4 linked regions of the Alligator mississippiensis genome follow. The protein of the gene in region 1 purifies or fractionates together with the protein of each later gene. This does not show direct contact. Links are inferred from orthologs where the notes say so. Each region holds a gene or a part of one and is shown on either strand. Other genes may lie near its edges.

What was found. The genes of interacting proteins can lie anywhere in the genome.
Region 2: the proteins of HNRNPA1 (region 1) and HNRNPC purify together in Homo sapiens (affinity purification with mass spectrometry; 8 studies listed by BioGRID and IntAct, with this or other methods). This does not show direct contact. The link is inferred for Alligator mississippiensis from reciprocal best matches to the Homo sapiens genes HNRNPA1 and HNRNPC.
Region 3: the proteins of HNRNPA1 (region 1) and DDX28 purify together in Homo sapiens (affinity purification with mass spectrometry; 3 studies listed by BioGRID and IntAct, with this or other methods). This does not show direct contact. The link is inferred for Alligator mississippiensis from reciprocal best matches to the Homo sapiens genes HNRNPA1 and DDX28.
Region 4: the proteins of HNRNPA1 (region 1) and ILF2 purify together in Homo sapiens (affinity purification with mass spectrometry; 4 studies listed by BioGRID and IntAct, with this or other methods). This does not show direct contact. The link is inferred for Alligator mississippiensis from reciprocal best matches to the Homo sapiens genes HNRNPA1 and ILF2.

Annotation. Positions count from the first base shown.
Region 1 is NC_081838.1:7,977,964-7,985,601, reverse strand, and holds the start of HNRNPA1 (heterogeneous nuclear ribonucleoprotein A1), read left to right. Parts: upstream 1-4,631; 5' UTR 4,632-4,689; coding exon 4,690-4,722; intron 4,723-4,916; exon of another isoform or gene 4,917-5,009; coding exon of another isoform or gene 5,010-5,024; intron 5,025-5,367; coding exon 5,368-5,484; intron 5,485-6,589; coding exon 6,590-6,736; intron 6,737-7,342; coding exon 7,343-7,553; intron 7,554-7,638. Other genes in the region: CBX5 (chromobox protein homolog 5), read right to left, coding at 4,329-4,418. UniProt on the Homo sapiens protein: Involved in the packaging of pre-mRNA into hnRNP particles, transport of poly(A) mRNA from the nucleus to the cytoplasm and modulation of splice site selection.
Region 2 is NC_081830.1:3,830,607-3,838,333, forward strand, and holds the start of HNRNPC (heterogeneous nuclear ribonucleoproteins C1/C2), read right to left. Parts: upstream 3,009-7,727; 5' UTR 2,901-3,008; intron 1,736-2,900; 5' UTR 1,579-1,735; intron 1,301-1,578; 5' UTR 1,275-1,300; intron 1,269-1,274; exon of another isoform or gene 850-1,268; coding exon of another isoform or gene 636-849; intron 1-635. Other genes in the region: probable G-protein coupled receptor 132, read right to left, coding at 5,182-6,069. UniProt on the Homo sapiens protein: Binds pre-mRNA and nucleates the assembly of 40S hnRNP particles. Interacts with poly-U tracts in the 3'-UTR or 5'-UTR of mRNA and modulates the stability and the level of translation of bound mRNA molecules. Single HNRNPC tetramers bind 230-240 nucleotides.
Region 3 is NC_081833.1:45,274,312-45,282,215, reverse strand, and holds the start of DDX28 (probable ATP-dependent RNA helicase DDX28), read right to left. Parts: upstream 3,009-7,904; 5' UTR 2,989-3,008; coding exon 1,330-2,988; 3' UTR 1-1,329. Other genes in the region: DUS2 (tRNA-dihydrouridine(20) synthase [NAD(P)+]-like), read left to right, coding at 5,128-5,239. UniProt on the Homo sapiens protein: Plays an essential role in facilitating the proper assembly of the mitochondrial large ribosomal subunit and its helicase activity is essential for this function. May be involved in RNA processing or transport. Has RNA and Mg(2+)-dependent ATPase activity.
Region 4 is NC_081838.1:13,197,778-13,205,006, reverse strand, and holds the start of ILF2 (interleukin enhancer-binding factor 2), read right to left. Parts: upstream 3,009-7,229; 5' UTR 2,921-3,008; coding exon 2,916-2,920; intron 2,660-2,915; coding exon 2,603-2,659; intron 2,140-2,602; coding exon 2,097-2,139; intron 979-2,096; coding exon 874-978; intron 473-873; coding exon 395-472; intron 166-394; coding exon 63-165; intron 1-62. Other genes in the region: NPR1 (atrial natriuretic peptide receptor 1), read left to right, coding at 5,190-5,886. UniProt on the Homo sapiens protein: Chromatin-interacting protein that forms a stable heterodimer with interleukin enhancer-binding factor 3/ILF3 and plays a role in several biological processes including transcription, innate immunity or cell growth.

The sequences.
Region 1 (7,638 bases):
TCCTGGCCTTTTTAAGCCTCTCTCCTGGTCTGGCAGCTGTTCCATGCCCCTGATCATTTTGGTTGCCCTTCTCCGGACCTTTTCTAGTTCAACCATATCCGTTTTGAGGCGTGGGGGACCAGAACTGCATGCAGATGATTTAACATGGTTATTCACGCCCGGAAGGAAACGCAACCATGATCTGAAATGCGAAATAAAATGTTGCGGGCAAAATAAAAACCGAGATAAGCGACAAAGGGGGAGCTGTTGGGGATGGAGTGCTGATATCAAGGGGGGCTCCATCGCAAGGGCAGCAGCTGGACCGTGGTGGGCTGTGGCTAACAGCAAGGAACAAATACAGGCTGTACTGACAGGATGAGCTCTCTCCTGGCAGCAGTGACTTGGGGCATCGAGGATAATCATTGAAAGCAAGTGCCTCCAATATAACCCTGTGGCAGACAGGGCAGAGGAACCGCAAGTTGTTTCTACAAGATCCTTACCTGGTGCTGGAGTGACTGGTGCTGGAACACCGCGTGCAGGCTGGGGACCACCGGTCAAGGGCGCTGAGCTAGAGATGGCTCAGAGAAGAGCCATAAGAACGACTGAAGGATGGGAACCCTCGCCTTGCCATGAGAGCAAAGAGCCCAAAAGAAGATTGAGACCACCCCAGATACCCACCCAGGTACTGGAAACGCTAAGATCAAGGACTCCTCAACCAAGCAGACAAGGGGACAGCGAGCCAGAAGCTGAAGCTAAGGAAATACAGGCCAGAACTAAGACACCTTTTTACAAGCAGAGAATTTAGCTAAGTCCTGGAGCCACCACAGGCACCAGACATTTTAATCCAAGGCGTTTCCCTTCTTAAAGAGCTTGGGATTCCCCACAGCTTCTGTGCAAGGATCAATCCAGGGAAGCCTGAGGGCCAGCAAGACAGACTGGGTTTAGACTCTGTTGCACAAAGTCTATACAAAAAGGAGGGTGCCTAGGCTGTCAGGGAGCACGCTAAAACCACAGCTCCCTTGTCTGCTATAGGGTAGTGACACTGGTTAACAGGATCACTAACACCCGCCCACCCCTTTTCTTCTACCTAGGGACAAAAGTATCCAAGTAAATCCCCCATTCCCTGCTTGGACCACAGAGCCACTGCATATTAGATAGTTTTATGGGGAGCCTAATTTAACCAATCCAGCACATGCTGCTTAACAGGCACCAACATTCCTCCTGGTCTAGGCATGGATGAAGGAGGTGTCTAGCACGATATATGGCAAGCAACTCCTTTCCCCATCTGGCCAGCTTCCTGTGGAAGAAGGTCCCTCGCACATCTTGTTACAGGCTCAGAAAAGCCATCAGGCTCTCAAACAGGGGCTGGCAGTGTGGCTGGACAAGGTGCTCGCTACCTGGGTTCACAGGACAACCCTTTCTCCCACAAGGAAGAAAGGAAGAGCTCTTCAATAAACGGAGGTGCTTGAAGTGGAGGGAAATGGCCCGTGTGCCCTTGGATCATGCTAATGCCTCTGAGATGGATGAACTTGGCCCTGCTGGAAAGCTCCTTCTTGCCTGGTCTAGGGATAGCTCCTACCGGCTCTCCAGTTCCAAGGCACTTCCCGGCCTCCTTTGTTCCTCTCACACCCTCCCCTTTCTGTTAAAAAGAAAAAGAGCATTGGAAATTCAATGTACAGCTACAACGCGGAGGAGGGAAGGGCAGGACGCTCAGGCGAGGAACGCGGGAGCGAAGGCTCCAACAGCAATATTAGCCGGATTCCTCATCGCATCCATCTTCCACGCTCCCAGCTCAGGTTTAGCGCGGAGGTCACTATTTTACTCGCCCGTGCTCCCTGAAAGCGTCGCGAAAGCGCAATGCAGCAGAGTTAATGTTCCCAGCGGAAACTCCACGGCTGAAATTTCCTGCCCTTTTAATTGTGTAACCAACCTTAAATGTCTCATTAGCGCCAGGGGCTTGCATTCAACATGAGGGCGTATTTATTGCTGGAGGCAAGATTCCAGCACGGTCTGGTGACGGGCAGTTAATTCACCTGGAGAGGTGGTGGCTTGGAGAGGCCACCAAAACGTGGGGGTCAATCCTGCTCCGTGGCAGCAGACATGGCTGAAGCCCAGAGCGCTGGGTCTTCTGCACAGGGCAGGATTTAGCCTCTGGCATCTTTCCCAAGACTCATCTGTTTTGTCCCATGTGTTCTCCGATGGCATGGAAAACCCCAGCCACGGCTCGAAACCCCTCTGGGCCAGGCCACAGACCAACGCACAGGCAGGACAGTGCAGGGAGCCTCCCAGGAATGCAAGAGTTCACCTAGCTGAGGCCCTTTGGTTTCGCCTCAACTGATCCATCACCTCCCATTGATGCCACCCCAACTACCCAGGACCACAGCAGATGCACGCACACACCAGCCCTGGTTAATTTGGGAGAAAGAGGCAGCAGGAGCCTGCCGGGGTCTCCACGCAGCACCAGCCCCTCCCAGTCTGACACAGCTGCAGTTGCCAGCCCGTCTGGTTACTAAGATACTGCAAGGCTAGCCGAGCCCTGCTGCAGCAGTCTAGCCAGGCAGACAATGGCTCAGCAGCAGGAGCTCCCCGTTCATCCCAGCGGAGCCTAAAGGCAAACCCCGCTGCCGGTCGGGCTGAAGTTACCGCCGCCCATTGTTAAAGCTCAGGCCGGGGCTTGCTAGAGAAGCACGAGGCTGAGGCGCAGGCAGGGGGACTCCGCTGCTATGGCCTCCGGGGGGCAGAAACCCAGTCTGCTCCTGCACGGAGCCCGTTCCCCTTCTCGGCTCTCCAAGTCGCTCTGTTTAAACACAAGGCTCCCCTTGTTAGCCACTGCAACGCATCTGGGACCCAAGTGCTTCTTTCCACTGGAACCATTACAAAGAGAAGTCACATACACAGGAGCGTTGTAGGGGGCAGCTGGGTAAGAGGCCGCAGCCACAGCCACATTTGCAGACTAGACATCCCCTGGGGGTGGGAAGCGTTAAAAAAACGCAGCAATCTCGCCTCGCCGTGCTCTGGGACCAGAGGAGGCCTCCAAGGCTAAGCCCAGGCCCCTCGTCAGTACCTGGCCGTCTGGTCCAGCTGGAAGGAAAGCTCATGGCTCGTTGTTGGCCGAGGAGCTGTGGTCTCACCTCCCTGGCTCCATTTGCAAAGCGCACTGATCTGCTGCAAGGGGCCGCGCGCTGCAGCCAGGGTACGAGATGGCCGCAGCTTCCACCAGCAGCGCCCATGCTCCGAGGCCTCGTGTGAGGGAGGCGGGGAAGCAACTGGTGTTCGCTCTGGCTTGAAGGCCAGAAAAGCTTCCACCGTGGACGGCCCCCATGCTATTGTGCAAGCCAAGCAGGACCTCCCTTCCTCCCCAGCGCCGCCCCCCCCGCTGCCTCAATACAAGGAAAAGGTCTCCCAATCGGAGCCTTTCCCATCCGTGCTACAGCCGTGGTGCCAAGGACCCCCAAAGCCGCCCAAAGCCTTCGCGCACATGATTTCCAGCTGCGACACGCGGCGGGGTTCCCACCCGCTGCCCTCGTGAGGCATCGCCCCACGTGCCCAACCCTTACTCCCCACTGCAAAACCGGCTGGGGAGGGGGGGGAGGGAGGTGGGCCAAAGTTCCCCCTGGCCTACGAAGAGCAGCCCCCACCCCCGTTAGCGGCATACAAGCGAGGTGTTTGCTCCGCTCTCCCGAAAGGGGTGGGGATCCAGCCGCGAGGACCAGCCCTGGAGATTGGCACGAGAACGACACTCAGCCCCAGCCCCAAACCGGAAGCCAACCCCCGCTCCTCGGACGCATTAAAGCGGGGACCTAGGGCCATGGTGGGGGGGGGGGGGTCCCTCGTGGGTATGCGGGTCCAAACAGGGTCCCAGCCCCCCCTCCCCCGCACCCACGTGGTCGGTGCGGTAACCCCCACCCCCCCGACGTCACAATGAGGATCGAACGCCTGGATCCATTCTAAGGTGGGGGGGGTAACTCGGTAACGGGCAGCGGGGCGGGCGCTTAGCCCCCCCCACCTCGGCCGCCGATTGGCCGGCGCCGCTGGCGCTCCCGCCAATCCGGCCGCGTTCCAGGCGCGCGCGGAGAAAAGCGGCACGGCCATTGGGCGCCGCCGTCGCCCGTCCGCCGGCGGGGCCCCGCCCCTCCCCGGTGCCGAAGCCGCCGCCCCATTGGCGGAGCTGCCCGTCCCTCACGGCCCCGCGCCTTGCTCTCGCTCTCCTCAGGCAACGGCGCCTCCGCCCCGCCCCCCCGGAGCCAACGCGCCGCGCCATTGGCCCACGCGCGTGTCTGTCAAGCCCGCCCGCACTCCCCCGTTCACTGCATACAACGAGCCCCCGGACCGCGCCGCCGCCCGGGTACCTCGGGATGCAGCGGATCCGGCACCCCTGCCTCTCCACTCCGCTCCTGCGCAACGCCCGCCGCCCGCCAAAACAGCCCGCGAGCGCGCATGCGCCGGCGAGCCTCGCACCGCGCATGAGCGCCCAGACCCCTCCCTCCTAGGTGCCGCCCCCCCCACCGCTACGCCTGCGCAGTAGGGCGAGCCCCGCGCGCTGCTGCGCGTGCGCGAGCCCGCCCCCGGCCTCTTCTTAGAGCGCGTCTGAACCGCGGCGCGGCTTCTCGCCCTGGTGGAGTCCGCGCGGCCTCGCCTCCCCGCTCCCACCTGTGCCCGGACCCCGGCGTGAGGTAGTAGCGGCGGCGGCGCGGAGCAGGGCGACCCGCGATGGAGCGGATGGAGCCGCGAGCGGGAAAGAAGGTGAGCGCGGGGGGTGGGGGAAGGGGCGGGGCTCTGCGCATGGTCGCCATGATCGGGGGCGGGATCGTTTCTGTCCTGGCCAATGGGGGAGGGCGCGGGTGCTCTTCCACCAATGAGAGCCTGCAGCCTCTGGGATTCCGCCAATAGGAGGCGGTGAGGGGGGCGGGGCGCAGCGGCTGCCGCCCAATGGGAACTCGCCGGCGGGGTGAGGCGGTGGCGCCGGCGTTGCTCGGCCCCTTTCGGAGCCGGCACCTCAAGGAGCCCGCATCGCCGCTGCTGCCGCCGCCATGTCCAGGGCCGAGGTGCGTCGGGGCCTCCTCGTCCGCCGGGGTCCTCCCGCCCGTTGGGGTTTGCGCCTGCGTGGCGGAGGGCGCCGAGCGGTTTTTGCGCTTGCGCAAGTGGGGGTGGGCTTGCGTGGCCGGCGGGGCGGACGACGCATGCGCGGCGCGCGGGGCCATGCGGGCGGGCGCCTTTGTGCTCGGCGCGCCGTGGCGACTGCGCATGCGCCGGAGCTTCCTTTCTCCCGGGGCTCCCGCGTGGCTCGGCAGGGGCGGGGGGGCGGGTTTGGGGTACCTGCGGGCGGGAGCTTAGCCCCCAGTCCTGCGAGGTCTCGTTTCCCGCTCACTCCCTGCTATTCCTCTCTAGTCTCCCAAGGAGCCCGAGCAGCTGCGCAAGCTCTTCATCGGCGGTCTGAGCTTTGAGACGACAGACGAGAGCCTTCGCAGCCACTTTGAGCAATGGGGCACGCTCACCGACTGCGTGGTGGGTGTCCCGGGCTGGCCCCTCAGCTGAGTTAAACCCATTTAATGAGCTGCTATATATTCTTCCTGCGTGGGAGAAAGGTGGGGGGTAGATAAGCTCGTGTGGCACTTGTACTCGAGGAGACTGAAAATTGGTCGGGGTCTTCTTGTCCTAGCCTTGGTCCGATGGAGTATTGAAAGCCTTGGTGCTTTGGGGTTGTTGGATGGGTTTCCTTAAGCTGCCTTTGTGGTGTTAAAGATGCACTGCCGTTGATGTGATTAAACAAGCGCAAACAGCATCCTGTCTGAGTAAAAGCCAACAGCGCATATGGGATAAATGGGGAGAAAAGTTCCCAGGGGTAGCAGGCAAATGGCAGAAGAAAAGAAACTGATTACAGAGAGATTAGCACCTATTAAAATAGAGTGGGTGTTTTTATCACCTTTATTTGTGCAAATAATTACTTTTAAGTATATATAATGTGCTATAAGGGTGCGGACAAGTGACACCTTTCTCCTCTGGCCACAAAAAGCAGTTTATTGCATGAGGAATCGGATAAAGACGTTACAAAATGTAGCACCTTGTGTAACTTGTGTCTGCAGAGCTCCCAGCCCCTCCTTTTCAGATTGGGAGGGGGGAAGGGAACAGGGAGTTCAGTCTGGGGGGTTTTCCATCCCCCTGGAGTATGGGGTGGATGTATTAGGAAACACCCCCCCTCCCCCCCCCCCCTGGGTGGGGGCACACCAATTAGTCCACCAACCCTTCAGTACCAGCTTGGGTGCCCCCAGAAGAGCTCTCTCTGCTGCCTTTTTCCCCCTCCCATCATGCAAACAGCAATGGCAGAGTTCTGGCTGTTGGTGTTGGAAAGCACCTCCATTCCCCTCGCCCTGGAACTAACAGTGAACTTCTGTTTGGTTTGGGGTAATGTAGAAGATTCTTGCTAAGCAGCAAGTTGAGTTTACAGCTAGGAGCTGCACTTCTGTCTGCAGCTTAAAACGAATCGGGTTGGCTTAGTCATGCATTTATATGTATTTTTGTTCTGAAATGCCAGTTAATGTTCTCTCTAGGTTTCCCTCTGTGCACTTGTGTCGTCTTTGCTGGGTTGCTCATGGAGACTTGTGTTTTCTAGGTGATGAGGGACCCAAACACCAAGCGTTCCAGGGGCTTTGGATTTGTCACGTACTCCTCCGTTGAAGAAGTCGATGCCGCCATGAACGCCAGACCGCACAAAGTCGATGGCAGAGTTGTTGAACCAAAGAGGGCTGTGTCCAGAGAGGTAGGAACAACAAGACTAGTCCAGTGAGTCGGTGATAAGCGTGCTCCTCCATCTTGTACCAAGGCTGAGTTAACAGTGGAGCCCTTCATTTGCGTGGCTGCTCTGGTCATTTGAGACTTGGTTGGGCATGCTCCAATTTATGGGAGTTGCTCTAGCTCCTTACGTTCTGTGCTGTGAACGATTCCTCCCGAGGTAGCTTCTGCAGCCTGTTGTTTCATTGGCTGTGTTTGGGGGGGGTGGGAAGGTGGTCTCTGCTATTTCTCACGGAAAGACTGGGTTACAAAGTTCCCCCATCTTGCTTGTGGTTTTGGGGTGGGCTGCAGTTTCCATCTCAATTTCAATCCCCAGTTGTGCCTTTATGGGCACCTTTGCACTGGAACATGGCTGAGAATTAGCCCTTTCCCCTTACTGTGGGGTCTGGTGTAGGTGGGGATTTGTTAACCACCCACCAGGTGCTCCTTCAGGCAACAGGAGAGCAGCCAGTTTCAATGCACTGGTTTGTGACTTATGTGCTTCTGGTCCATGTGATGCCACCTTTATTGCATAGAGAATGGGTGCTTGTGTCATGCTTCTTTCCCTCATGCATTTCCTCTCTGTCCTGTGCAGGACTCTCAAAGGCCTGGTGCTCACCTAACAGTAAAGAAAATCTTTGTCGGGGGCATCAAGGAAGACACAGAGGAGCACCATTTGCGGGACTACTTTGGGCAATACGGCAAGATCGAGGTGATTGAGATCATGACAGACCGCGGCAGTGGCAAAAAGCGAGGTTTTGCCTTTGTCACCTTCGATGACCACGACTCTGTGGACAAAATTGTCAGTAAGTACCTGGCTGGCTCTTACAGTCCCACCCAGCTTTTCTGCCTGGATACTCAAGGGCGGGTCAGACTTGTCAGTCACATGGA
Region 2 (7,727 bases), on another chromosome or scaffold:
CTCACTGGTGGCTCAAGCTCCTGCTGCTTTTGCAGACACAGCACGGAAACACAGAAAGCCTTCTAGACATACGCTGTTCCTGCACACGGCTCCAGGCCTGACCTGCCATCCCACTACAAGGGACAGCATGCTTCTATGCACTGTTCTAGGTCTCATGTGGTGTCCTGTGCTCAGAGATGGTTTCCTCACTGGGGAAAGGGAGGGGGAAGCAGGCAGAAGGACATTCACAGGAGGTGGAAGGTTCCCCTTTAGCAGGGGACCAGCCTGCCCAAAGGCAGGGGAACAAGACTCCCATGGCTTTTTTTCCTCCTTTGTCCAGGTCAAACCCAGATGTCTTCCTGAAGCACTGCTCACGGCACGTGGGGCACCAGCTCTGCAGAGCCGCTGCGGTTCCCATAGCCGGGCCTTCCCTGCGGGGTCTATTCTCCCAGCACTAAGGCCACAGCGCCAGGGCTCCCACCACGCTCCTACACAGCTCTGCCAGCCAAGGTGACAGTTGTGACATGGTGCTTCTAACCCTAAACCAGGCCTGCGGTATAACACAGGATCCTTGTGCTGGGGACTCCTCCATGCCTGGGCCTGTGGCTCTGGTGGCCAAAGCTCACAGTGAAATCTACTGGCCTCACACCTCTTACCATCGCCTGGGATGGGTTTGTATCTGCTCCACGGGCGGTTCCATTGGCTGTTGCTGCCGCTCCAGGCCAGGTGTCCGTGGCGTGGTGGTGGGTTGTTTTGAGGGAAGGACGGCGTAGAGGAAGAGAGCAGGAGGAGGGTTTTGGGGGCACAAGAGGAGGGGGCTGTTGGGGAAGGGCCATCGCCACCACAGGCGATCAGCACCACAGACATCATACGGCAGCAAGTTTAAAAATGGCACAAACGAAAGATTAAAAAATAAAAAAATAAAAAAAACAAAAGAAAAAATAAAAATACAGACTTCCAGAGACGCTCTAAAACAGTTCAGGAGAAACCAGGTCCCAATCTCAGCAGTCAAGGGGGGGAAAAAGAGTTAGCGTGATCAATCCACTTTAAAAATGCAAAAACCTTGTTGTCTCTCACAAAGGGTAAAAACCCAGCTCAGTCAGGAACACTCAGAAAAACGCGATTTCATCTGGTTAAAAATCAGCAGTGTCATTTATCATCACCATCAGTAATATATCAGCATAGTAAAGTCATCAGCATTATAGTAGTATAATAGTAATAGTAACTAGCAACAACAATAAAAAGGAAATCAGTGGAAAGGCAGGAAAAATGGAAAAAAATGTGGAATAACTTACTGTAGCTGAAGATCAAAAAAATCTCGCTGTAAAAAAACAAAAATAAAAATAGCCCAGATTAGAAAAACGGGAGGTGCCGAAAGGTCAAGTCAGCAACGATCATTTCTGTTCTCTCCCTCTCTCTCGCGCTCTGTGGTTACCACAGAGCCACGTGGGGAGAGCTCTTGGTAGGAGACAATCAAAGCCCTTTGCACACCACCACTGCACTCTAAAAATACCCGAGAGGTCAGCTCATGAGGGGCTAAAAGGCTCCTCCTCTCTAACCCAGCTGCTGCAGAAAAAAATAGACACTTTGCAAAATTACATCTTAAATCCAGCTCCAGCGTGGCGCGGGGAGCGCTGAGCCCCGGGGGCACTGTTAAAAGGGCTCTATAAAATGGGGAGGTGTGTGTGTGGGGGGGGGAGGGGGTTAACACGAAGCTGAGCTCCAGTGAGGAGGGATGGGGTTTCGCCTCGCTGCCCTGTGGAAGGAGAAGGGACAGGTTGAGTCAGGGTTCCTCGGAAACGCTGCGCGCCCCTCCCGCGCCCCCGCCCCGAGAAAGGCCTGCCTGCCTCCAGGGACCCCCGAGCGCTCAAGCTAGGGCTCCTGCCACCAATCCTGCGCTAACCCCTCCGCTCCGCTCCTCCGTCTCCAAGGAAGCAGCTCAGACGTCAAGCACGGCGGCAGGAGGAGATTCGAATGGGGGGGGTGCATCGTGCAGGCGGGGAGGGGGGAAGTGTCATGCGAGCCTATCCTGACGGAGGATCCTTGGAGCTCAAGCTGCCCTGAGGGTGCGGGGGGGTTGCGGGGGCACGCGTCCTGCTCCAGCCCAGGACGCGATGCAACGCTGACGCCTCCCCGGAGGCACCGGCGTTACCTACGGCAGGGAACAGGGGGCGAGGCAAGGCGAGGGGGCCTATTCCTGGTGGAAGGGGGGGGAGGGGGAGAAGTGAGGCCCGCGGGGGCCGGACCCGGACCGTGCCCTCTGGCTGCAGGGATCCGCATGCAGGGCCGAGGCGCAGGCAGAGAGCGGCAGGCCGAGACAGGAGCCCCTTCTTCCTGCCCACTCGAGGCTCTGCTCCAGCTGCCGCCCACCAGGCCGCGTGCCCCTGCAGCACAGGCCCCGGGAGCCAGACCCCCACCTGGCCGAGACCACTGCCGCGTGGCGGGGGAGGTGGGGATGGAGGTGAAGGCGCCAGCCCCCCCCTGCGCGCCCATTGGTCTGTCCCAAAGAAGCGGGAAACCGGGCTCTGCAGGCCGCACCATTGTCCCCCCGCGGGGGGGGGCGGATTCCTCGTTTTCCCATTGGTCAGCCCGCGCCCGGCCGCCCCTCAGCGATATCATCCCCTCCACCCCGCCATGGTGGTCTCTCCCGTCTGAGCCGTACCATTCTTCTCCCCGGCTCCCCCCCTGGCCCCGCGATGGTCTCGCCCAGGAGAACAGGCTGTGGTGCCTGGACTGCACCATTGTAAGCCGGGGGAGGGGCGGGATTCCCCCGCGCTCCCGGCCGGGCAGAGCCGCGCCGAGGGGCGGGGGGGGTCCGCTACCCCCAAATGGCGCGGGGAGGCGGAGCACACCGCGGGGGGGCGGCCCCGCGCTGTCCCAGCTCAGCCTTGCGTGCAGCGGCGCAGCAACGACAGACTCACCGCTAGGCCCCGCTCAGACTTCGAGTCGCTCGCGCTCCCGCCGCGGCCTCCTGGCTCCGCGCTGCTCACAAAATGGCGCCCACGCCGCCCTCTGCACCGCTCAGCCCGGACTAATCCGAGTCCACCCCGTCCCCGCCCCCATTGGAAGAGAGGGAACAGCCTTATTCACTGTCATTGGCTGGCAAAGAAGTCAATCCTGCTACTGGCCAATGAGAGAGGAAACTCTGAGGGGTGGGAAACGGCGGGTTCGACCCCCCCTGCCTCGGCGGAGTGGGGGCGTAAGCAACCACTGGCTGCTGCTCCCATCGCTCTACTCCCGCAGCCCAACACTCTCCTCTGCTTGGTTAAACTTGCTGTCAGTCCACGCCGCAGTCTTTTCTCATTGGGTGAACGGCACATTCGATTCCGCCCCTGCCTCATGTCTTTCTGTGATTGGTCATTAAGCCTTTTACGGGCCCACCTCTCTGCATCGATCCACCCTGAATGGCTGGAACTTCTGTCACTCCCCGGTAATTTTAGCTCTTATAGGCTATAGTCGAGGAGGCGGGATGAACAGGGAAAGACTCGCGGGAAAAGCCCCAGGGAGCGGGGCGGAGCTTGTGACTGGCAGCCAGGACCTTGGCATGGGCGCTTTTCTATTGGTCCCGGTGGGGGATGACGTACGGCTCCTGTCTTCCCCTCCCACACTCCCCTTGTCAGAGACCGGCGCCGGCTGTCGAGCAAGGCGCGTTCGGTGGAAGGGAGAGGGCTGGCGCGGATTGGTCACGTCTCCGCCAATCGCTGCTGGGCGCTGCCTTTCCCGAACGCTCATTGGCCAGTTTGAAATCATTGATACCCTTGCCAGAGGGGGTGGGGCGAGAGAGGGGGCTGCGAGTGAACTGGGTCTGCCCAGGGGTTTCCCTCCCTCTTGCAGCGTCCGGCGCTTAGGGCGCTTCTCCACGTTCATTAATGCGCTTTTGCTAATGTTCATTAAATCTAGTACCTCCACTGAGAGCTACTGGAACAGGCACATTCGTTTAATGCACATTAGCAAAAGTGCACAGCTTTTTTGTGATGCTTTAATGTGCAATAAAGCAGGCGAATGCACATGAAAGCAAATGTGTACACATGCCCTGCACCCCTGCTCAATAGCTGCTGCCGCCGCTTTCCTCCAAGAACTTCCCTGGTCCCTTTCTAAACAGGCAATGCCTGGCACTGCAGGGACCAGCTGCTCTCTATCGCCTCTCAACCATCTCCCCTAGATCCCAGTCCATCACTGGTTTTCACACAGCGCCTGTCCAGTGTTGCCAGCTCTCAAGAGACCAGTCCTTCCCGCACAGCTATTGACTCTGGAATCGGGTGATGACACTAAACTCTCAATTTTAAGCCCTCCCGGGGCAGAGAACGGCTGAAAATCGTGCCCTGTGAAGGTGCAAGGCCAGTAGGCAGAAAGATCCAAGCATTTTTACTTTAATTTGGCGATGCACAATCACTGGCGATGCATACACCCCCTGAGTGTAGCGGTGCACCCAAAGGCGACACCAAAACTGCTGGCAGTCACTGCTTGCTGCCGACACTGCCGGCAGCGTCTGTGGGCAGCCCGCGGACGCCGCTGCCTGCCATTACAGCAGTGTCTGTGGGTGGTCGCCGACTGCTGGTTGGCACTTGCTGCCTTACCAGGATTGGACAGATGAACCCTCAAAAAACAGATAGGCTCGTGCCCCCATAGCCAGTAGTCTAGACGCAGGTCTGAGCTGGCATCCATCCAACCCTACTCCAATGTGGTCGAAATTCAGACCGCTATCCCACGCCCCGCCCCCAAGTCTTTCAGAAGCAGAAGCTGTTCACACCGCTTCTAGTTCCGGTTTTTATAACAGCGATGCTGTGGCCAGGCTGCCTGGCTCTGCTGAGAGGCACAGAGCTGCTCTTCGCTCAGGAGGCAGCTGCTGGAAGTAGCATGGCTACATGCATATGCCACTGCAGCAGAACTAATTAGTATAGCCATGTCCGGGTGTCACCAGGGGGACAAGTGGACTAGCTGGAGCAAAGCCATGGCCCCCTCTCCCCTGGGGCAGTCAAGCTGCAGGCAGCACTGGGCTTTCCCCCTCAGCAGATGCAAGGGGACGCTGCCTGGGGCCACTCCAGGGCCAGCATTCCCAAGTTGGGGTGGATCAGGTAGTCATCACGTATGCCCAGATGCAGCCCTGCCACTCAGGACTGTCCTGAAAAATCCTACCCAGGGCAGTCCCTACACGCACCTCTGCCCCTGCCAAGGAGGATGGTGGCATTGGGTCTGACCTTGTTACGACGCTGATCTCAAGACCATGTTTCTGAAGCAGTTCCTGAGCTCTGCCCTCCCCTCTTTGAGGAGCAGGATGTAGAGAAGGGGATCTGTGATGTTGCCCAATGTGGGGATGCTCTTTGCCACCTGGCTGTAAGTGAAAAAATTCTTCTCCAGATGACACGTGTCAGAGTCTGGTGACGTCATCTGGCGCTTCAACAAGAAATTCACCTGATAAGGGAGGAAGAGCAGGAAGAAGGAGATGATGATGAAGGACATAAACCAGCACATGTGCTGCTTCTTCTCCTGCTCCAGGGATGACACCTGTCTAATCTTGCACAGGACCTGGATGTTGCAGAAACCCATGAAGAAGCAGGGTAGGAGGAAGGAGATGCTCAAGACGGCCCATCGGAAACGGACGTACTTTATGACTTGTGGGTAGCAGTCATAGCAGCGGTCTGGCCCCAGGTTCTGCAGCCAGTTGCCCAAGGAGCAGAAGCCAATGACCATCATCCACATGGCTGCGCTGATCGTGGCAGCACTGCGCATTGTCTGTAGCCCGTGGAAGCGCAGGGGGTAGACCAGGCCGAGATAGCGCTCTGCAGCAATGAGGCACAGGAAACTGTTCTTGGCGTAGAAGTTTGTGAGGAAGATCAGGTGGACCACCATGCAAGTGATCTCCCCCAGGTCCCAGCGGTGATCCTGGTAGCTGTAGTAGATCCAGAAGGGCAGTGTCAAGGTCTGCAGTAGGTCAGCCACCACCAGGTTCATCACAAAGACCGAAAGGACCACAGCCTTTTTGATCTGGGACACCAGGACCCAGAGTGCCAAGAAGTTCAGAGGCAAGCCAGTCCCTATTACCACGGAGTAGATGGGAACGAGGAAGTACTTGGTGGTGTTAAAAGCCATGGGGCAATAACAGCTGTTGTTGTCGTTCATGATGTACTCTCTGCCCTAGCAGAGGACGGGGTGTCTGCCAAGAGCCTTAGTCCCTGTCCCACAGGAAGGAGGGCCTCGAGCTCTGCTCCTGAAGATCGCCTCACCTGCTTCTCCAAGGGAGCTGCCTCGCCGAGGGAGCACAGTCACTTTATGGACTCCCAAACCCCGTTCCTCAAGGGATCTACAAAAGACACAAAAAATCTGGATACGGTAGGGTTGGGGGCACATGCAGACCACACAACTCCCCCCACTCACCCACTCTTTATCAGGCTGAGTGGTCAGGATTTCATAGCCTGCACACTGGGATCTGGTCCTCTGCAACAAATGCTGTAGCCAAGCTGGGCTGCCTGATCAGATCTGCAATGACTTGCTATTTTTTTTCTTTCCTTTTATTTTTCACTCTAAAAAGCAAGGAAATCCCTGCAAACCTCAGCAAACCAAGCAGAAATTAAAGGCACAAAGGTCGGGACTGGCGGAGGGCTTTCTCGCTCTGGCCGAGTGACCTCCCTAGAGCATCTCACAGCTGGGGAAGGAAGAAGAGCCCTTGCTTTGTCTGCATCTCTGCTGAACACTAAGTAAAGGTGGCTTCAGCTGAGGCAGAGCAAAGCAAGTCACTCGCAGCAGCGGAAGCGAGATTTCTAGACAGCCCCCTGCACAACAGCATGAGCAATCATCTTGAGGTGTTTTAGGGGCAATGCAGGGAGAGCAGCTGTCAAGGCTAGTCTTCAACAGCTTGAACCCCTGGGCTTTGCTCGCATCTTCCCTCAGGAACTTTGGCGGAAATGCAGCTGTTGCATTCACGTTCCTGGGAAACTGCGGTTCCATCTGTCTCCCAGTCCCAAGTCACAGATCACCACTTCCCATCATTTGCTGCCATGGCAGAGCTGTAACGTACCTGCCTTCTTTTGGACCCGACGCTGTCTTGCAGCGCTGCCAACATAGCTGGCTCTCCGCCTCCTTCTGTCTGATTTTCTTTCTGCCTTGTCCTGATAGTACAAGCACTAGGCATATTCTAGAGGTCTGCTCTAGCTGAAGCTATTAAAACAAGGTTATCTGCATATATTAGGTACATTTATATAAATCCCATTAATGCCTGGGTCCTGCGCTGGAATTTTTGGAGCACGGTTCTATTACGCTTTCCGTGTCTGCATTGAGTTATGAAAGCATAAGGATGCAGACCTCGCTCACCCCTTTCTCCATGTTGCCATGCCTATCTGTTGCATGGTTTATTCCCCTTTTGCTTATTTCCCCATCAGCTGGAGGCCCCAGGAGTCAGCATCATAGAGTTTGGCCAGAATTTGTCAGACTGGATCATGCCAAAAACCTTCTCAAAACCAAGCAAAACGCAGATACTTAAGGCAGCGTGTTTCTGAGCTGTGCTGGGGAAATCAAGCAGGGTCCTGCTGGCTTCCCTGGGAGCTCAGGGGAAGAGAGGGGAAAGGAAGCATAGTATTTAGGGTCGGAAGGGACTTAAACAGATCATCGGGTCCGACCCCCGCTATCACAAACTTCTATGCCAAGAATGGCTTCCTGTGCCTCATTGCTGCAGAGCGCTATCACAGCCTGGTCCACCCCCTGCACTTCCATGGGCTGCAGACAATTGCGGTGCCGCCAAGGTTAGCGCGGCC
Region 3 (7,904 bases), on another chromosome or scaffold:
TTGACTCCAACCCTTTTGACAAAGGAGGAGTTTTATTTAGGTGTTAAGTATCAGCGTGCCACAGCTGGATTCATGGAACTTACATCTTATTTCCAACCATCAATGGCCTACTTGGTGACTGTGGCCAAGTTATTTCATCTCTGGGTGCCTAATGCACTATCTATGACCCCCCCTTTATACAGTGCTTTGATCTACTTGTGAATGGCACTCTGAGAGGTACATTCTTCTCGCCACGGAGATTCTACTTACCCTAACATTTCAACAATTAAAGAGCCTGAATATATAATAAAAAACAAGCAAAAGAACTTTAATAAAAAAGCGTGAAAGGCCTCTCTCTTCAACCTATAAAATACTACAAATGTACTACTGGGAGGTAACCTTGGAGTACAAACTGCTTAACCAGCACTTCCCTTCTATTTTCTTTCCATTGTGTCCTAGCTCCACTTTTGAAATACCTGGTGTGTATTTCCAGGAAAAAATTTCTCAATCTGTATTGTACAGACATTGTAAGACTAAGGAAGATGTTTTTTTCTGCAACGTCAGAGTTCAGATAGAAGGTTAGATTATGGTCCAGAAACTTCCACTACACCTACCTGTGCTGGAGATAAACAAGCCTTAATTTACAATAGTTATATAAACTTTAACAGATATATATAACCTTTAATACACTTGAGGGAAGAGGCAACATATTTCCACAATAATTGTTATTTTAACCTTCACCTAATATTCAGTTCCTGGCTGTTGCTTACCTTCTGGCTGTTCCGATACAATATTAGCAAGGTAGAAACAGTGAGCTAGAAATGGGAGTCCTTTCCTAGCATCTGACACAGCAGATCACTGTGAAAATTCATGCCTCTCTGAACCAGTTCCAAGGGTGCTGCCCCGCCCTACCTTCTGCCTGACATCAGGCTAACATAGCTAGCCACCTATACTAGAACATTAATGAAATATAATTTTCAGGATTATAGTGACTACATAATCCTAACCTATTTTTTATCCAGATACATCTGATTTACATCAAATTGAATATTAATGAGCTTTGAACAAACTGACTCTCTCAATTTCATTGCTTTTGATCTATTTCAAGCCTTCCCTAAAAGCATTTTAACTACCTGTTGCATGTTACTACAATTTGATTTTGCAAAAGTGCAAAGTAATTGCTACAACTGAAATGAATCAATACACCTTAGGGTCATGACGCAACTAAAAGCTTAAATTCTTTGGCTATAACATTTACATTCTGGGTCACAAACATAAGATTGCCAGTATTAAATATAACAGTAAGCCTTTAGTAGGAGCCTAAGTCTAATTCAAACACAAAATTCATTGCTATTTGGCAGTCTGAGTCAAGTCTGTTTCAGGTAAAGGCTCATCAATGGAGGTCTTCATACCCGGGAGACTAGTCCTTCTCCGGGCTGCAGTCTCTATCTTCCTCACCAGGTCAACATCCCATGGATGGGTCACATAACTAATTGCAGATCCAGACTTCTGGCTACCCACACGCCCAACACGCCCTACCCGATGGAGATAGTCCTGCAGGGTGTCTGGGAAGTCATAGTTAACTATCAGCTCCACGCGGCTAGTATCCAGTCCTCGGGAGGCTAAATCAGTGCAGACAAGGATGTCCTTCTCTCCCTTCTGGAAGGCAGAGAAGATACCTGCTCTCATGGCTGCAGGCATCTGGCCCTGCAGTCTCAGGTGCTTGACTTTGTGATTATCAAGGATGTAGCTGAGCCAGTTGACCGTGGGGGCCTTGTTACAGAAGACCAGAAGGGCTCCACTGGAAGGGCTCCGGACTTTGATGAGCTGCAACAGCTCAGACACTTTGTCTCTACCTTTGATCCGGACAAATTTCTGCTGGATGTGGGGTAGGAGGCAATGCAGGCTCTGACTGACGAGCCTGACAAAGTGGCCAATGTCACTAAACTTGCTCAGCAGCCGGCTCAGGCCTCCAGGGAAGGTGGCTCCGACAACCACCAGCTGGGTTTTGACATCCCACGGATCAGCCAAATCCTGGGGGCTGCAGGTCAGGGGAGCATGCGCCAGCACCTCCTCCACCAGCTCCAAAAACGTGGGGTCCAGCAGGGTGTCGGCCTCATCCAGCACCAGGCAGCTGAGCTGCTCCAGGGTCACCATCCGCTTCCGCAGCGCCTTGCACAGGGCCCCCGGCGTGGCCAGCAGCACATCCAGGGAGGGCTCCGCGCACAGCTGCCTCTTCACGCTGCCCATGCCCCGGCCGCCGCCGATCTCCCGCACCCGCAGTCCCAGCGGCCGGCATAGGGAGGTGGCCACGGAGCGCACCTGCTCCGCCAGCTCCCGTGATGGCAGCAGCACCAGGCTGAGGGGGCTGGGCGCCGGGCCCGAGTGCAGCTGGGGCCGGGGCCCCACGAAGAGCCGCTGCAGCAGCGGCAGCAGGTAGGCCAAGGTCTTGCCGCTGCCCGTCTCAGCGGCACAGATCGCGTGGCGGCCACGCAGCAGGACGGGGATGGTGTGGCGCTGCACGGCCGTGGGCCGCCTGAGGGACAGTGCGTCCAGGGCGGACACCAGCGCCGGCTCCAGCCCCAGTGCCCCGAAGGACGAGTCGCCCCCCTCGGCCTGCGGCGGCGCGAGCGCCGGCGCCAAGTCCTGGGCGCGCTCCAGCTGGAAGTAGTCGCCGCAGGACAGCCGGTGCTTCCAGCCCGCCGACACCAGGCGCGGCGCCTCCCAGCGGCCCAGAGTCAGGCGGCTCGGCTGGCTCAGCTCCCGCCGCCGGCTCCGCAGCAGCAGCTTCCCCGCCCGCGTCGGGACCGCCAGCTCCGCCGCCGCCACCCGCCGCCGCCGCCGCCGCTGCTGCTGCTGCTGCTGCCGCCGCGCAGCCCAGGGCACCCGCACCACGTGCTCCGGGGCCGGGACCCCGGCCCAGCTCCGAGCCCAACGCAGTAGCACGAGCTGCACGAGCCCCCGGGGGACCGCCGCTCGCACCGCGCTCAACGCCATGGCCGCGCTCATGTGGGGGTGGCGGGCGCCGCGTGATGACGTCGCTGTCGCACTCAGCGGGCGCGCATGCGCAGTGTGCGGCGGTGACCGGGTGCTGCGGCGTGAGAGCTAGGGCCGGGTTCGGGCAGGTGAGCGCGCGCCAAGTCCCCTCCCCCCTGCCCCGGGGTCGGGCCCTGGGATGCGGTGCTAAAGGCAGCGCGGGCCTGGGGCTCCCCCGTCGGGAGACGGTGCCGCGGGCCGGAGGTTGAACGCCCCTGCTCCAAAGGGTGCGAGAGCAGAGAGTCGCGTCCCCCTCTTCCGTTTTAGTCCCAGCTCCGGCTTCGTTTGCTTGAAAAGCCGACTCCCCCCACTTGGGTAAATTCAGTAAAACCAAAACGCGGCCCCCGCCGGCTCTCCGACCCTTATTTTCTTCAGCTATTGCCTACCTTAAAGAGCCGGTGCCTCAGTCGCACGCGGCCCCCACTGACAAAAGAGCCCCCTAATTAACCTTGTTGCTTGTGTGAGACTCTTGCACTGCATCTCAGAGCCCCAAGGCTGATACCCTCCAAAGCCTGAAGCCAGGAGGAAAGATGAGGGTGGCGGGTCACTTGCTGATGAGATTTGCTGCGCTCTGGAAAAAGGAAAGGTTGATGCCCAGCTCGTCTTTCCATTCTCTTTACAGGTGGTCCTGCCGTTCCTGCTGGTATCTAGCTAGTAAGTAGATTTCATAGACATTAGGGTTGGAAGGGACCTCCGAAGATCATCGAGTCCAGCCCCCTGCCCCAGGGGCAGGAAGTCAGCAGGGGCCATAGGATCCCAGCAAGATAGACATCTGAATGTCTCTTGAAGGTGTTCAAAGTAGGCGCTTGAACCACCTCCAGTGGCAGGCTATTCCAGACCTTGGGGGCTTGGACAGTAAAGAAGTTCTTCCTTACGTCCATCCTGAAGCAGTCCTGAAGGAGTTTGTGACCATTTGACCTTGTCATCCAATGGGGCACTGGTGAACAGATGTTCCCCCAGATCCTGGTGAACAAACTTATAGGCGGCCACCAGATCACCCCTGATCAAGGCTGAAGAGTCCCATAGCTCTCAGCCTCTTATCATAAGGTCTGTGTTCCTGACCTCTGATCATGCATGTGGATCTCCTCTGCACTCGCTCAAGCTTTTCCTCATCGTTTTTGAATTATGGAGCCCAAAACTGGGCGCAGTACTCTAGCTGTGGCCTCCCAAGGCCAAGTACAGTGGGAGAATAACGTCCTGGGCTTTGCTTGAGAAGCATCTATGGATGCAAGCCAGTGTTTTGCTCACTTTACTAGCCGTAGCATCACGTGGAAGGTTCGTGTTCGTCTTGTGGTCAATCGTGACCTTTTCGTCTAGTACTAGCCAGCATAGCACTGCCGAGCCTATAAGGATGCTGTGGGTTTTTCTTCCCAAGGTGAAAAACCTTGCATTTTTCGGTGTTAAACATCATCAGGTTCTCATCTGCGCATTTCCTGAGCCTGTCAAGGTCAGCCTGGATGGCCCTCCTATCCTCAGGTGTGGACGCTTTACCCCAGAGTTTGGTGTCATCAGCAAACTTGGCCAGTCTGCTTCTGATACCAATGTCCACATCATTAATGAAGACGTTAAATAGTATAGGCCCAAGGACAGAGCCTTAAGGGACCCCACTGGTCACTGTGCACCACGACAATTGACTTACATCAACCACCACCCTCTGGGTCCAACCACAAAGCCAGTTCCCCAGCTAGCAGATTGTGGTGAAGCTGAGGCCACAGTTGGCCAGTTTTGCCAAGAGGTGATAATGGGATACCAGATCGAAGGCTTTTTTAAAGTTAAGATATATGACATCAATCTCTTCTTCATTGTCCAGGTGATAGGTCACTTGGTTGTAAAAGGAAATAAGATTGGTCAAGCAAGACCTACCTGTGACAGACCTGTGCTGGCTATACCTCAGGATGTTGCCATCAGCCAGTCTGTTAAGAATGGCCTCTTTCTTTGATAATCTTTTCTAAGATCTTCCCCAGAATAGAGGTCAGGCTGATGGACCTGTAGTTTGCCAGATCCACTTTCCTACCCTTCTTGAAGATAGGCACCGCACTGGCCTTCTTCTAATCTTCAGGCACTTCACCAGAGCAGCAGGAGTTCTCGAAGATTCGTGCCAGGGGCTGGGCTATGATGCTTGCCAGCTCCTTGAGTACTCTGGGGTGTAAGCTGTCGGGGCCGGCTGACTTGAAGGTGTCCAGCCTCTCAAGGTGTTCCTTCACAAGGTCAGCATTGATGGAGGGTAAGGAATCATCCTCACCCAGGGGTTCCTGTCCTGTAATGGGCAGGGGTGCCCCTTGGAACTGGTGAAAAACTGATGCAAAGTACCCATTTAGCAAGTTGGCTTTTTCCTGTGTGTCGGTTGTCAGTTGTCCCATGGTTTAGCAGGGGTCCAATGTTGCTCTTGCTTTTCCTCAGGCTGCCCACATATCTAAAAAGGACTTTTTATTGTACTTGGTACTTGTAGCTAGTTGGAGTTCAGTTGCAGCCTTGGCTTTCTTGGTTTGCTTGTATTCTGCAGGTCTGGACCTGTGCAGAATATTCCTCCTTGGAGGTGGAACCAGTCCTCCATCTTTTGTAGGTCTTACTTTTTAGATGCAGGAGGTCTGCTAGTTCCCTCCAGAGCCAAGGGGGCTGCTGTGCTCTTTTGCTGCCTTTCCTCTGAGACGGAATAGATTTAGCTTGTGCTCCCTTGAGGAACAACCACTCATCCTGAACTCCCCTCCCCTTTGGGTCATGATTCCTTAGGGTCTCACTGACAAGCCTCCTGAGCTTGTCAAAGTCAGCTTTCCTGAAGTCGAGGACTTCTGTATTGCTGACTGACTTGCCAGCTTTCTGGCAGATGGTGAAGGTGATCAGCTCATGATCACTGCCACCCAGCTTCCCTTTGATTGTTAGGTCGCTGATTAGGTCATCCCCTGTAGCCAGTACCAGGTGAAGCAGCGCTTTACCTCTCGTCGGCCCGTTGATTTCTTGCGTCAGGTAGAGCTCATCCACACACGAGAGAGCTTTGCAACCGCTCTGATTTGGCTGAGCGCTCTTCCCACGAGATGTCTGGGTAGTTGAAGTCTCTCATGATAACTATGCATTGGGAGCATGCATCTTCAGTCAATTCCCTGGCGAACTCCTGGTCAAGCTATTGATCTTGGGTAGGAGGTCTGTAATAGACTCCCACCATTGTGTCCCCTGTTCTGTGTTCCCCCACAGATTTTAACCCAGAGGGTCTCCAGTCATCCACCCTGGTTGCCCCCTTACCGGCTTGCAGGGATGCGTAGCTTTCCTTGACATAAAGAGCTACACCCCGGCCCCTTTTGTCCACTTGATCTCTCCTGTACAGGGTATAGCCATCTATACCTGTACAGTCCAGTCATGGGTGGATGCCCACCAGGTCTCCGTTATCCCTATGACGTCATAATTATTTGTGTTAAGCAGGCAGACAAGTTCCTTCTGTTTATTCCCCAATCTCCTGGCATTTGTGTACAGGCAGACAAGTGTCTCTTTAGGGGCCCTTGCCTTGCCCACAGCTCGTTCCAGGGCTTAGTCAGGGCTGGGCTCCTTTAAGTGCCTTGACCTGCTGCCTTTGCAAGGGTTGCTCAACGGGCCAGCAGTGGCAATAGTCCCCCCCATCCCCTGGTGGGCTTAGTTTAACCAGTGGTTAATTTTAAGATTGCTCTTTCCTCACTGGTGTGAAGTAAAAATACCACAATTTTCTCCAGCAAAATTTCATATCTTATTTGTTTCATAGGTCTAGATTGTAGCCATGTTGGTCTAAGGACATAGGCAGACAACATTGTTTGGGTTCAGCCTGAAGAAGGGTGTTTGTACCCAAAAGCTTGGAAAAAAGAATTTTCCCAACTATTTTAGTGGTTCTAATAAAAGATATTGGATTTACCCAAAGAACCTTGTCTGACTATGTCCTTAGACCAACATGGCTACAACCTGTACCCCGAAACACTTTTTTCCAGCCATGACACTCAGTTGTTTTGAGTGTACTTCGCTACTGTAACCTGCTACATGATGGCTGCATCTTCTAACCTGGCACTTTCCAAGGTGGGCTCTCAACTATGCTACTCTCTTACCTGCCTCTCTGCAAGGTGGGGTTTTAGCTGTGTTATTCTCTTACCTGCTGATGGGGCAGTGACCCTACATTACAAAATTCTGTCAGCACAGTTATGTCTGTTAGGGGTGGGAAAAGATTGATGGACATGGCTGACGTGTCTCTGCTGACAAAACTCCCAAGCAGATGCAGCTCTGCCAGCAGAAGGCAGCTTTTGTTAGCTTAGTTCCCCACTTTGTGGGGGACCTAGTTTAGTTCTGATGGAAGAAAAATTCCTGCTGGCTGACCTGACTTCCTCAGTTAATGCAGAAGTTTGTAGAGCAGGCTTTCATTAAATGCCACTGGCTTGTTGCTGTTAGTTGCTGCTTGGCCAAGGTGCATCAGTGATGTTGAAATGTTATTTTTCACTGCCCTGGGGAGAAAACAGCGAAACGGAAACAAGACTGAGCAAAATGATGCCGATGCTATTGCATTGGCATTGTTGGAGCTGTCTATAGGCAGGTTTAAAGCAACAGCATAACAATGTCTTGCACTCATGCAAGGAACCCTTTTAATGAAAGCTTGTAAAGACCAAATCTTCCATAGAAGCTTCCTACTCACCAAGAATGAATGGATTTTTTTCAAGTCTTATTGGCTGTGTTTTTTATATTTTATTATGATTTGCATCGCAAGAATGTCTTATGGTGCAGGGGGAGAGTTCTTTAGGATGGGGATTTGCAGTTCGGTAGTCTTTCTGCACAGTCAGTCACAATGACTACATTAGAAGGTAACATAAGTTGATCTTAGGTACTTCTACATTTTGCCCGTCTCTCTTAGTGGTAGTGCTATGGATAACTGAACTTTCAGAGAA
Region 4 (7,229 bases), about 5.2 Mb from region 1:
ATGAAGTGAGACATTGGAGTGGTTCTGACTGCCGCACCCGATCAGGAGCAGAGGACACTTACAGGTAGGCAGGATTTTCAGGATCACCACCAAATCAGCTACATTGTGCCCTGTCGTCATGGTGCCCTTCTTGTAGGATCCCACCTGGCGGACTTCTTCAATTTGCTATTTCAAGAGAACAAGCCAAAAAAGTTAATACAAGCCAAGAGCACACAACTCAACTTCACAGCCTCCCTCGAGAGGGAGCCTCTAAGGGCAGGAGCAAAGAAACCAACGCTGTAAAACTGATCTGCCTCATCAGGACAAGGAGACACCCAACCAGACTAAGGCAGCCTCCGAAGAGCTGCACCAACCCTGCAGACCTGGCACATCTCGGCAGACAAGACTGACTCACCACTTCAAAAGTTCCTGGCGCCACTATCAAGTTGTCAATCACGTTGTTTATTTTAGTCACCAGAGACAGGATGGATGCCTGAAAAATAAGAGAGCACGCGGTGATGGCAGCAGCAAGTGACCGTTTCAACTAAAGCTGAGATACAAATGCATGCCTTTGTCTCAAAGGCTGGGAAATTATGGGATTTGGATAATCCTGAGACATGCAGAGGAACAGACAAGTCAGGAAAAACAGATTTAAAACCACTTTCCAAGCAACATAGCCCTTTTCCATCCTACAGCAGGCTGGAATTAGCACCCAGCCATGGTTCTGTCCCTTGGTCAAGTCGAGAGACATGCAAAGCTAGGTCTCCCTTTGCAGGAAGATCATTTCTGGTGTTTGTTACAAAAGAGTCTACACTGAATTAAGAGTAACCTAGCACCAGTCTGAGTTCAGGAAAGTTTTCCATAGGAAGCACATGGGAAGCAAGCTTTATTAACCTGCTCGGCTGCAGTTGGAGCCAGATCCTGGTTTCTCTTCAGCAAGGCTTCACTGAATGCCGTCTCATCAGCTGCAGGCTTCACGCGAGGGAAGGCCATCTCACACTGCAACAGGAGCAAACGTTAAAGCAGCAGCTCCACAGTGATACAAGATCTTTGGTGCAGCACTTAAGAAGAAAACAAGCTTATCCTAGTTTTCCTCTCCACTTTCCCTAGTAGCTTCCAAATACATTTTCTTGCTTACAGCCTTTTGGACACGGCAACCAGGCTGCACATTCTATTTCTACTAGGTTCAGTGGAGTAAAAAGAACTTCCCTTCCTACCCACATCTTTACCGAGGCTCCAGCATCAGGAGCAGGTCTCTGAAAACTGCACCTTAGTTACCAGAACCTGCAGCAAGGCATTTATGCATGCTCTGCACAGAAGCTTTTTTAGTTTACAAGCAACAAAATGACATAGAGAGGTAGGACTTAAAAGGTATATCTCTAATGATGGATCCAGCTGAGTACTAAAAGGCAGTAAAGCATCTGAGACCTATTAGATGACATACCGAATTTCCTAATGAGACCCTGTAGTTACTCAAACCGCTTGAATTGTTGCAATGGGAACAAAGATCCTGGCCTTGTAAGGCAAGGAAATGGTTAACCCATTTTCCCTGAGAAAGCCACACCTGTGTGTCCCTACACCAGACAGGCTCAATGAAGGAAGGAAATGAGCTCCTCCTCTTCCTCCTCTATAAGAAGACAGAGAAGAAAGTCATTCCTGTTTAGGCCACACAGAAACCAAGACCTGGAGGAAGGCCAGACTCTACTGCTCTGGGAACCTGGCTAAGGTAATGCACACTTTGGGCTACTAGCTGCAGATCTGGGAGAGGATTTTCATTTCCTGTTCCACTCTTTAACAGTGGGATAGGTTGTGATGCATGTTAGTGATAAACACCAAGGCTTTCCATACTACACGTCTTCAACCCTCTGTCAAACGCTGCATGGACACTGCCTCAAAGACCTACTTGCCTCCCGCTCACTTGAGCAGGCCAAGAATCAGACGTACATTTTTGGTTTTGAAACTCACTATTTCCTATGGCCCCACAGGATGTTCTGCTATTACATTCCCTTTCTTAAAAGAAACAAGCAACTTTTTTTACTTCAACAAAGTGTTATTTCCACTACAACCCTGCTGCTGTTTTATACAGCCGGCACCAAGCACTGCGAGAGGTTACTTACCACATAGAAGTCAAAGGGAATGTGTGGCACGAAGGGCCTGAATCTAAAAGGAAAAAGTGGGAGAAAATGGAGGTGAGTTCTCATTATATGCAAAGGACAAGAATATTCCCCCCCCCCCTGCCTGGACAAACTTTTGAGAAGCTTTAAAATGGGTGACTAGACGCATCCCTCTCCCTAGGAACCTAGGCTGGAGAAAAATCAGAACTGCCTTTGACTGGGTCAGACCACAGGCCAGGTCCAAGCTGCGCAGCCTCCCGTCAGAGGGGCAGAGAGCGGAGCTGGAAGGGAGAGCGAGCTGCATCTGACCAGCGTTTTTACCGCTGCTCTCTCGCATGCAGCCTCCAGCACTGAAGGTCTAGGAAGCTTCGCTTCTCACAGAGGTTTAGGGCAGGAACAAGCTAGAGGCTGTTGGCCCTGCAGGGCCCCCTTGGCAGCCCCTCAAAGTGGGGTCCCAGGCTAGGGAGGCAGCGCTCCCACCAGCACCCTCTAACAGAGACGGCGCTCACCCGCTGCCAGGGCCCCTGGACCCGAAGCGCCCGCCACGGCCGCGACCTCGATCACCCCTGGGAGAGAGAAGAGGCAGTGAGTCACAGCTGAGCAAGGCCCCGAGCCCCTGCCCCTACGGCCAAGCCCTCTACCCCCTTCATCCTCCCCGCGAGGCGCCCCCACCCCCCTTCAGCCCTCCCTTGCATCCCCCGCACTCACCCCCTCGACTGCAACCCCTGTAGGGCACCCCGTCCTCCTTCCCCGCCCCGCCTGCGGGGTCCTCAGCCCCTCCCCACATCCCGACCCCCCCGGGCCTCCCTAGCCGCCGCTCACCTCATGGCGCCCGCTACCCCCGAACAATGGAACCCGCCGCCGCCGCCGCCGAGAAGAAGCCGCCGGCCAGCGCTGTCCACTCCGCAACAAGCGGCCCGGCGATTGGTTCTCGCACAGCCAACCGCGGGCTGGTATTTTCGCTCGCTGTTTGGCTACTGGGTTGCTTCCCCATCTATCTCAAACGAGCCAATCGGAGAGGGAGCGCTGGGCCAGTTACAGGCCCGGGGGGCGGGAACAAGAAGGCGGCCGTTGGCGAGCGGGCCCGTGCTACTGCGCATGCGTCTTGCAGGGCGCGAGCGGGGCCGCAAGGTGGCGCGGGACGTGCGTAGAATGGGTGCTGGGTGGCAGCTCATGGGCGTCTTCGCTGCGCATGCGTGAGTGGCTGGAGGTAGCCTTATATGGAGTCATCAGAGCTCTGAATTCAAGCAGCAGAGTGGCGCAGCGGAAGCGTGCTGGGCCCATAACCCAGAGGTCGATGGATCGAAACCATCCTCTGCTAGTTGTTTCTTTTTTGCTCCTTTTGGGTTAATTAAAAAGCTGGGTAATTAATTAATTAGCTGCTTTTCATTAGTACCGCCTGCCTGCTTTTTCCTGCTGTCCTATGCAGCCTGAGGGGCCTCCCCACACCTGGGGGGGGCACATCCAGGGAGCACGTGCTCTCCCATACCAGGGAGGGGGCAGAAACAACCCACTGTCCCAGGGCCTGCCCTGCCATCCCTGGTACCCCCATTCCTGGGGGTGCTGCTGCCCCAGGGCTAGGCCTGCTCCATGCCCCTGGGCTCCGGGAGGCCCTGCCTGGGCCTTGCCACCCTTGTAGCCCCCCAGCTCTGCCCCCCAGGTCATGGTGCCCAGGCCCCTGCTCTCCTGGGGGCAATGCCCTCCCTGACTTGTTTCTCATGACTGCCCTGTCTGCCCAGAGAAAGGGTGGGCAGGGGTCTCAGGACCCTGCCCCAAAGAGGCAGCGGGTGGCAGGGACCCCCTCCCCATGTGTCAGGGCCCCCACCTACCTGCCCTGCTCTTTACCTGGGTAATGGGCCCCATTAGTGCCCCGGTCACGGGAATGCCCGATTGTGGCAATCCCATGTCCTGCACTAATGAAGCTGCAAAAGCACCTCCACTTATCCCAGCTGCCAGGGGGCGTGACCCAGCAGCTCCCCTGCGGGAAAGCGGGCTGGCAGGATGTGCCCAGGTCAAGGGTGCAAACATGTCCCCCAAGAAGCTTGCCTGGGGTCAGCCGGCAGGGCAGGATCTGGGCTGTCAGGGGTGAGTGCATGACCGGCTGCTCATGGCACCCCCCCAGTGGGGCCCGATCCTTGGCCCAGGCCGCTGGGGTCCACCCTGAGCAGAGCAAGGGAGAGGGCTGGGGGCCACCTGTCATCCCCTGACTCAGGCAGCTGGCACTTGGTGGAGTGGCATAGAGCCTGGCAACACTGGACGGGGGAACATCTTGGGGCCCGGGGGCTGTTCCAGGATAGGGCAGGATCAGGCCCCCAGCTGCTGGGATCAGGTCCAGTGTGGTTGCGGGGGCGGGTGCTGCATGCTTGGTGTTTTTCACCCATCGGTGTTTTTCCAGCTGGATCAAACCCTTTCCCCTCCCCTCGTCCCCCCCCCGCCCCGGCTGGGGCAGGCACTGCCAGTGTGGGCCATGGTGGGTACCGAGGTCCCAAGGGGCTCAGGGGGGGTCAAGTGGGATACACCTGGGAACCCCCAACCATGTGCAGAATGAGCCCACTGCTCCCGCTCCACCCCGGCCCCCCAGCTGCCTCCTAGCTGCCAGGATGAAAGGGGGGAACAGATTCCCTCCCATGCAACCCCAGGGCTCCCCCAGCCTGCCCCATCCCCTCCCCCAGCCTGGGGGGCCAAAGGCACCCACTGTCCCATAGCCCCCACTACCCCCCACCCTCCTCTCCTCTAATTATGGCAGAATGCCCTGGGGGGGTAATGCATACAGCCTGCATCGCCCCCCTTTGTACCCCCCCCCACCCCATTAAGATGATAGATTTGCCCCTCGGGGGGCATCTCTTCCTGCCTCCCCCTGCGGGCACGGGGGCGGGGCAGGCCGGCAGCTGCAGGCAGCAAGGGGTTAAGGAGCCGTGCGATGATAACAGCCCTTTTGTCGTTGAATGAGGGGAAGGAAAAGCACTGCCTGCCCGGGAGATAATCAGTCGCTCGCTGGCGCGGCACCGAGAAGCAGCGCCGGGTGGCGGGGCCGTGGCAGGGCGCGGGGGCGCGATGCCACAGGCCTAGGGCAGGCGTGGGGACGGCAGCGACGCCATGCGGCGGGCACTCGTGGCACTGCTGGGCGCGCTGCTGAGCGCAGTGGGTGGGGCGCGAGGCCACGACGCCAACCTGACCATGGCCGTGGTGCTGCCACACCGCAACCTGAGCTACCCGTGGGCCTGGCCCCGGGTCGGCCCGGCCATTCAGCTGGCCATGGAGCGGGTGAACCAGCGCCCCGACCTGCTGCCGCGGCACCGGCTGCAATGGGTGTTCGGCAGCAGCGAGGACGAGCACGGCGTGTGCTCCGACTCGGCCGCACCACTGGCCGCCGTGGACCTCAAGTGGGCCACAAATCCCAGCGCCTTCCTGGGGCCCGGCTGCATCTACGCCTCAGCGCCTGTGGCCCGCTTCACACGGCACTGGCGCCTGCCCCTGGTGACGGCGGGCGCCGAGGCGCACGGCTTCGACGACAAGGCAGACGTCTATGCACTGACCACACGGGCTGGCCCCAGCCACCGCAAGCTGGGCGCCTTCGCTGTGGCCCTGCAGCGCCACTTCAACTGGACACGCCACGCCATGCTGGTGTACTGGGACGACAAGCTGGATGACCGGCCCTGCTACTTTGCCATCGAGGGCATCTACGTGCAGCTGCCCAGCTTCCACAACCTCACCGTGCTCGACATCCCCTTCAAGGACCAGGACAAGGCCAACTACACCTTCCTTGTGCAGGAGATCAAGAGCAAGACACGGAGTGAGTGCCCCCAACCCCTGCCCCATGTGCCCCACAGGCCCCAGGCCCACTCTGCGCAGTGAAGGTTTGCCCCAGCGCCCCAGGCCAGGCTGGCAGTAGGGGTCAGGGTACAGGTGAGAAGGGGACACATCTGCCGTGACCAGGGTTGGGGAGACCGTACTTCTGCCTTGCTCCTGGGGGGCTCGGGAAGAAGCAAAGCCCCACATGGGTCAGGGGGCAAGTGCATCCCCCTTCCCCGTTCCCATCCCTCCAGGGCGGGAGCTCCCAGCAGCTCCCCCAGCCTCCAGGATCGGGGAAGGGAGCAGCCTGAGGATTGGAGAAGGGGGCATCCTCAGGGAAGGGGTCAGCCCCCCAGTCCCAGCTGAGGTGGGGGGGCCAGGCACAGCCAGACGGGGGTGCACCCAGGGCTGGGCACCCCCATGGCTCCTCCTTTCCCCCCCGGACCCAATCCTGAGTTGTTGGCCAGCCCTTGGAACGTTTCCCCCGATGTCCCTGGGCTTTGGATCGAGCCCTAATGTGGTACAAGAGTGTGTGTGTGTGTGTGTGTGTGTGCGTGCATGCGTGCGCACGCACGTGTGTGCATGCACGCACAACAGTGCACACAAACAGACATGCCATGGCAGAGCCCTGTTGCACAAGCAAAATTGGTGCCAAGTCCCCTCCAGTCTCCATTACCCCTGGCATGTCTCGGGTGTCCTGGCAGAGGGTCCCAGCCCTGACATGAAGTGGGAAGCATGATGGAGCCACCCGGAGCCCTGGGGGGAAGCACAGAGCCATGATGGGTCCCCGGGGTCTTCTCGGGGTTGACCCCCCAGGGTCCTCTCACTAGCTGCTGTCACTGGGACCCTCCATTGCCCCACCCTGGGCACCCCCTCCCTGTCCACCCCCCACAGCTGAGAGCCCCATAAACAGCTGCAAAGCTGGGGCAGCTCCATGGCCACGGAGCCTCGCGCCCCTGGGTTTCCACTGGGCCCTGTGGAAGCCATGGTGGAGGGAAGGGCGAGCGCCCGCCCAGCCCATAAATCACGGCAGGATCTTGGCAGTGGGAGAAGGAAACAGAGTCCTCAAAACAGGACGTGGCAGCCACAGGGCGGGCAGGCAGGGCAGGGCAGGCCACGCCGCACGGACCGGCCCTGCTGCAGCCCCGGGGGGCACGTGGCCCCTCACCCAGCTGGGCAGGAACACGGCGTCCGCGCGGCAGGACAATAACAGGATGTTCCCTGCGTGCTGGGCTGGGCCAGGGGGGCAGGGACGGCTCTGCTCCCCTCTGTCCGGACACGGCCCTCAGCCGCCCACGCTGGCATGACCCTGAGATGCCCACAGCGGTTCCTGGCACATGTAAG